2 linked regions of the Caenorhabditis elegans genome follow. The protein of the gene in region 2 interacts with the protein of the main gene of each other region in a pairwise test. Each region holds a gene or a part of one and is shown on either strand. Other genes may lie near its edges.

Region 1 (3,754 bases), on a different chromosome or scaffold from region 2:
AAGCTCTTTTTCCTGAATGTACTTTGTCTCTATCACCTCTTATCTTTTTATTTTTTTTTCGAACTGCACGGCATGTGACAAGACTTTGACAGTGTGAAAATGAAACGTTTTTTCTATTGCATTTTTGTTGCTGCTCCCCAACTCTTTTTCATCTTATCGGACCACTTCATCTTCAGGTCTCGCGCACTTTGTGACGTAGATTGATGAAGGTCCTCACGTCGTTGTCCCATCGTCTCTGGCAGATGTTTCATAATCGAGGATGGCTTAGTTGAGATTTCTTCCATTTCACTAATGGTTTTGATTTTTCCCCGCGCAGCATCATTCAAAAAACACCTGATCTTTCACTACAAAATGAAATAACCGACTCGTTCGTTTCAACTTTGTTACTACTTTTTTCTATCTTTTTCTGCTTTTCATTCTCTTCAATTTTTCGCGGTCCCATCTCTTCCGCTTGTGACGTCGTCAACTTCTTCTTCTTCCCCTACTTCTTCCTCCGTCGCCGCTGTCGTCGTTTTTCTTTCCTCTTCATAATCGCTTTCCGTCGACCACTCGAATATTCTGACGTTCGCCGTGCCGCGACTCATCCGTTCGTTTCTATGATTCGAATTTTTTGAGAAAAACTAGAAAGCGTTGATATTGTCAAGTGTTTCGTTTTAGGATATATTCTAAAGACGAAAGGACGGATGCAAGTGTGTGTATGTATTTGTGCCATTGCAATGACGAGAGCGGAGCAAAGAAAATGACGAAGAAGAAGAAGCAGTCCTTCTCTTCGCTCATTCTTCTACTGCTCGTTCTTCCCATATATACTCATTCCCCCCGGAGAATTGTTCTTTTCCGCATTGCTGCTTCCCGTTGCCGCTGTCGTCGTCCGCCTTTCCTTTCGATTCGAATCGGATCGACAAGTTCCAGACGGCAAGAGTCATCCCTTCCATCCATAAACGCCATCACTGTCGTCGTCGTCGTCGCCTTCTTCTTTGAAAAAATGAGAAAAGCTAGAAAAAATGACGAATTGTGTTGGAGTCCTCGTCCTTCTCCTCTGCCTCTCCTTCTTTGGCGATGGCACACAACAGCATGGCCACAACACAAATAACGCGATAACTTTGTTTCGGCTCCTATACAAATTTGGTTATTTTTGTTGGTCGCTCCAACATTTTTTTCGTCCTCATCCGAGCCATGACTTCTCTTCTCCTTTTCCTCTATTTCGTCTCAAACTTCCGTTCTTTTTTACCTAATCATCATTATTAGCCCCATCCTTATCATCTTCTGGAACCCACATCGTCATCTTCGGTTTCTTTCTTTTTGAGGCACAAGCAACAACTACTTTTCTCGCATCTTCTCTCCTCCAGCTTCTCTTCTTTATGAGCCGGGTTAGGGGCTCTTCGAAAATTGTTTCCACTCGGCTGCCTTCGTGTTTTCGACGTGCCCGAACTTGCTCAAAACCGAAGCTCACGCATCGTTAGGTAACGAAAGAATTACACGTAGGAGGGACGCACTGCCGTTTGATTCTTATCTGTCATCGTCAGGATTGTTGCAACCTCTTCAATCCTCCGGATGTGCGTTGATTCCCGCACGATTAGACAATTTGTTGTGAAGGTGTACGCTATGTTTTGTCGTAAAATAGGTCACACTTGGAAGTTTTATTTTGGCAGCTTCATAATTATTCTAATTTATGATGTGATGGATTTTCTTTTTATATTTCATTTATCTGATTACCTTTCTCATTTTCCATATCAATTCTTGCTCGGTTCATCAGCTAATTCCATTGGTAGTGTCAGAATTCATGTAGCAGATAGATAGATACTCATAGATATTCCTTCGTCGCCTCAAGTATCAAGTTTCTTGCTTCTTTTTCTTCTTCTTCTTCTCTTCGCTTGTCCATATCCCCCGCGAGTTCTTCTTTCCTTTTCTTTTAATTGTTTACTTCTTCTCCTCATTCTACTCATCTTTTCCTTCATGTTTCAGAAAAAATTGTGGTATTTTGAGACAATTTTTTCTTTTCATTTCTCTATGTTTGCCTATCACTGAGGCTTTTTCTCTTGAAAATCTCTGCAAATCATTCCAATCAAAAATAATTTCAGGACACCTTGTCCAGTAGACAAAACCCGTCTACTTAGGACTCTGCGCTCATCACAAATGGTGTTACGGGCGCTCGAGTTTTCGGACTCGATATCCGATTCTCCGTGGTTTCGACAAAATTTGCATGATCACGAAGTGGCACTGGACGACGCTTTCAAGAACATCAAGCTCATTGAGAATCAGTGCAAGGAGCTGATTGCGTGCACAAAAAGTATGTGGCTTTTCTCTCTTTTTGACCCTTTACTTTTCCATTTAATCGCGTGGAATTTATAATTATTTTTATTGCAGAGCTTTCAACAGCACAACGAGCATTCGCAAAGACGTTAAGTGAATTCAAGTTTGAAACAGTCGGAACAAATCAGACAGATGATGAACGGTTTATTGGTGAGACTTTTGTTTAGCAAAAATTTATATAAAAAAATACGCGATGTTAAAAAAAAAAGTACAAAACATTTTTATTTTAAAAAAATTTCGCAGTAAAAAAATTAATTTCGGAATTTTATTATCCAGCCAAGAAAAATCGAAATTTGCTGAAAACATGTTTTTAAATGTTTTAAAATTATTAAATTTCAATTTTTTTTAATTTACCATAGTTAAAAAAAAATTTTAAACATTTTTAGGAATAGCAAAAAAGAGTATTTTGCCGTAGCAACCGTTCATTTTTGCCAAATTTTTCAAAGTCATATTTTTTACAATAAAAAAATAGTGTTGAACTCTCTTTTAAAATTTTTTTAATTGTCTCGAATTTCAATATTCCAACAAAGACCTTCGAAATCTGAATTGTTCGTGAAATTTTGAAATTTTTATAAGTTTCCTTCAATAAAAAAATTCGTTTCAGTTTTTTCTCCCAAAAAATCTATCGAAAGTTAACAAAATCCAAATTGCAAGTGATTCTCATTGTAATTTACCAAAATGCTTAATTTTCATAAATATTTTTATTGTCTTTGAAATAATATTTCACATTTTCAGCCACATGTCTAAAAGAATTCGGAAGTCTGATCAATCAAGTCGAAGATGAACGAATGAAACTTGTTGGACAAGCTGAAGAAAGTTATTTGGAACCAATAAAAAAGTTTCGAACTGAGGCGATTGGTAGAACATTGAAAGAGGAAAAGAATAAATATGACAAAGAAAGTAGCAAGTTCTATCAAACACTTGAAAAACATCTTCATCTGAGTACTGTTCGTAATAACGATTTTCGAGCCGCTGATGCCCAATTGGAGACTCAACAGAAAAACTTTTTTCAAGCTTCGTTACAGGTTTGAGTTTATAAAGTTGTCTTCAAATTATAAAATTGGAAAAAATTTGTGTTTTAATTTTCAGAATTAATGAAATTTTGGCCATTTTCTATTTTTAGACTAAAATTTCTTTCTAAATTTTTTTTTGGAAAATCGAAGGAATTTTGGTTTTTCGAATTAAAAAAAATCAACAAAAAAAATTTTTTTTCTGAAATATTGCGAATTTAAAATTTCTTTCAAAAAAAAAAAAACTTTCTGCCTTTTCAGAATTTAAAAAAATCAAAAGTTTTCGTTTTTAGTTTTTCTAAATAGTGTAATTCAAGTTTTTAAGAATTTGCCGTTGGAAATAGTACAATATAAATTGCTATTTTCAGTTAAAAAGTATATTCAACATAATTTCTCAAAAATAAAAAATAAAAAAAATTTACAGTATGTGGCAG
Region 2 (3,754 bases):
GATGCATTCGCATTTGGACAGGAAGACACCAACAACGACCGTATCACCGTCGAATGGACTAACACTCCGGATGGAGCTGCCAAGCAGTTCCGCCGCGAGTGGTTCCAGGGAGATGGTATGGTTCGCCGCAAGAATCTGCCAATCGAATACAACCCATAGGTTCCTTGTAAAATAAATATTGTTTAATGCCTGTGTTGTTTCTTTCTGTAAATTGAATATATATACACTTGTCGCTTATCCTCTAGATCAGCTGGCTTCGTCGCTTCGTTGTTTCTACAGATATTTCTTGCAAGAATCTTCCGATCGAATACAACCCATAGAACTTCTAAATAATTTTTTTCCTGATTCACTGGTTGCTGATTTTATAATTTGAAAAATAATATTGTCTACCATGTTTCCAAATTTCAAAATATGATATTGTGATATACGAACTTTCTTTGAATACTTTGTTACAGAACTTCCTCGCATGTATCATTTTGAGAAGAAGTTGTATGTTCGAGAGCCGTTTCTAGAGAACTAACAGAACGAATTTTTTAGATTTCAGAATTATCAACAAGATCATATGCAATGCCTTGAATTCATAGATAAGAGATGATGAAAGATGGAGCTGACTGCATTTGAAAGAACTTTCATTTTATCTATCTAACAATCTAACAATTATTAATAAACAATTATTCATTTTCATTGTTGTGTTTATCATTCGATTACTCGGAAAACATTTTTATTGCTCAAAATATATATTTTTCTAGCTAACTGGAGTAGTTTCAAAATTGCCATTCGGTTCAGGATAGGCGGTTTCAGGCTTACTTTTGTTTAATTAGTCCCAGGTCTTCGAAACTCAATGTTTTATTGTGTCCTGTGTTTCCCTTGATTTTCACTAAATTAATTCTGGGGACATGAGAAGGTAATCTTGGAAAATTGAAATAAACTACAGTACTCCTCAAAGACACGATTTTAAATTCAAAAAAATCAGTCGTGTCGAGACCCGGTACCGTATTTTGGGTGTTAAAATCGGAAAATTTCGCCAATGGGGATACGATAATTTGAGTTTTATATTCAAATTAGATGTATGATATAGGAAAACATTCCACTAACGGGTGTATTTGATTTATTTTGCTTGTATTTACAAATAATATATTTCGAATGCTCGCCTGTTTCTTGATATTGTCCTCGTGTTGTTCACGGCCGAAGTTTTTCACAATTATCAATAGAGCGCTTCTGAAAACTCGTCCGCGACAGTGAAAATTTTAATTTTCAGAATTAATTGTTTTTAATTTAACGATTTTAATTAATTCTCTCATTTACTGTTGCAAGATTTTTTAATGCTATCTGTTGAATATTTAATTTTATCACTATTTTCAATAATTACGATGTAGACGCTTTATTTGCAATATATATTGCAAACAATATTACAATATATATTGCAAACAATATTGCATTATACGCAGATTATTTTCTCCCGTTTTGACAGAATAAAATTAACTTGACAATGTGTGTGTAAACACAGTGACGACAAACTGCGACAATGAGTCATTCAGGTTTAGTCTTTTGCGAATTAGTTTATTTATAATAATTATATATTATAGGGTTATTGGGATATTTTTTTATCTCACCGTTAATGAAAAATGTTAAATATATTCCTGTTTCAAAAATTGGCTACAATTTAAATCAATATATTTGTTTTGTAATCATTATCATAGAGGGCCGGGACTCTTCCCACTGAAACTCAATACTTTTGCATATTTCACATTCTCTTCCTCCGTTGGTTCACCAAAAGAGAAAAGGGACCGACATGAAAAGGAAACGAAAGCTTAAAAGAGACGGAAAATCGATGTACTAGAGTGCTCGGAAGTAGTTGAGAGGCGCAGAGAGAGAGCTTTCATTCAGAAGACACACGACGTTATTCCTCGCAACGCCTTCTTCTTTTTAACAATCTTCAATACATTTTAGTGAACTTTCTTTTATTTCTGTTTCATTTAAAAATAGTCTTAAATTTCACTATATTTAATTTTTTTCTTTTATTATCTGGAATGTTTCAGCTTTCAACATGGATGATTCATACGCGATAGCTACACCGCACAATGATGTTTTTAATCACGCATTCGCAGAGGTAAATATTTAACAATTTGTAATACGTTAACAATTGTTATATTCCAGATGAACCCTCACGGAGCACCAAGAATAGGAGCTGCAGAAGCAGCTACTTTCCTTAAAAAATCAAACTTGGCGATGCCTGTGTTAGGCCAGATATGGGAGCTTAGCGACTCTCAAAAAGTTGGATCATTAGATAAGAGAGGAGCATTTGTTGCTTTTAAACTAGTCGCAGCTGCTCAACAAGGTAACTTTTATTACCTATTTGGAATCATATTTTGTTGAAAATACGATATGCTCAAAAGTAACCTTAACAGCAAAATATTTCAGGGAAGCCCGTCGCCAATTCTTCCCTCTACGATTCTTCCCTTCAGCCACCACGGTTTGCACCACCTGTACCACCAGCAAACATGCAGCATCATTTCCAACCATCGTTCCCATCGGTTTGACTGAAAAGTGGTTCCTCTATTTCTAAGTGTTATTATTCAGGTTGGCCGTGCTCCTCCAGTGCCACCACCACCACATCCATCACATCCTTATTCGATCTCTTCTCAACAATCTTCTCCAGCTCATCCATCGTCAGCTTTTCCACCACAATGGCCGATAACACCAACTGACCAGGTAGCAAAAACTGAGAATTAAAAACTTTTAAAAAATCTTTCTATTGGCACGAATAGAGAATTGACAGTTATTTTCCTTTACAGATTTGATCAAATATTCTTGTAATTATTTCAGGCTAAATATGACTCCATCTTCCAATCATTGAATCCTGTAAACGGAAAATTGTCTGGTGCACACGTACGCCCGGTTCTGATGAACTCTGGACTTGATGCTCATGCTCTGGCTCGAATTTGGGAACTTTCGGATCAGGACAAAGATGGAAACCTTGATCGAATCGAAATGTCTGTTGCACTTCATCTTGTATACCGATCACTTCAATCAGACCCGGTTCCTGCACAGCTCCCACCAAATCTCATTCATCCTTCGAAAGCAATGTATGCTCACAGCTCACCGAATTTCGCTGCTCCTCCACATCCTCCACGTCCGATGATGGGATCGAGAGCAGGATCTGTGACGTCATTGGATGATGTGAACATGAGTCAATCGTATTCTGCAACGATGCCACGTGCATATCCACCACAACCAGGTCGTGCTTACTCTGCACAGGCTCATGTGAATGGATCACGAACCAGTGGTGCATCAACTCCGATATCTGCTTCTCACTCGATTCACTCATTTCCTGCTGGTGAATGGCCTATCAATACAGGAGATTATGCTGATCAATTTGCTCAAACTGATACGAATAAGGATGGATTGGTTGATGGCATGGATATGAGAGCTCCCATGATGACTACTGGATTGAGTGCACAGATATTAGCACATGTCTGGGCATTAGCAGATATAAAAAAATGTGGACAGTTGAATTTGGAGCAATTTGCTTTGACGTAAGTCTTTCAAGTTTACCAAATATCTAGTGTAACTAAATATTAATTTTCAGAATGCATCTTCTTGACATGGCAAAACGAGGCGAGTCCATCCCATCAGAACTGCCTTTACATCTGATTCCACCTTCATTCCGCCCACCTACGGAACCTTCAGCTTTGCATCATCCTGCTCAATCAGTTTCAACTCCACAGCTCCCAGAAGCAACTTCGATGGAAAT

Evidence for each region.
Region 1: the proteins of ehs-1 (region 2) and T04C9.1 interact in a two-hybrid assay, tested with the Caenorhabditis elegans proteins (2 studies listed by BioGRID).

Annotation. Positions count from the first base shown.
Region 1 is NC_003281.10:5,991,141-5,994,894, forward strand, and holds the start of T04C9.1 (Rho GTPase-activating protein 26), read left to right. Parts: upstream 1-2,078; 5' UTR 2,079-2,133; coding exon 2,134-2,287; intron 2,288-2,364; coding exon 2,365-2,460; intron 2,461-3,045; coding exon 3,046-3,335; intron 3,336-3,744; coding exon 3,745-3,754. Other genes in the region: T04C9.2 (uncharacterized protein), read left to right, coding at 740-1,090.
Region 2 is NC_003280.10:5,818,673-5,822,426, forward strand, and holds the start of ehs-1 (Eps15 (endocytosis protein) Homologous Sequence), read left to right. Parts: upstream 1-2,039; 5' UTR 2,040-2,047; coding exon 2,048-2,110; intron 2,111-2,157; coding exon 2,158-2,338; intron 2,339-2,421; coding exon 2,422-2,534; intron 2,535-2,580; coding exon 2,581-2,712; intron 2,713-2,826; coding exon 2,827-3,536; intron 3,537-3,589; coding exon 3,590-3,754. Other genes in the region: ZK1248.4 (MSP domain-containing protein), read left to right, coding at 1-159.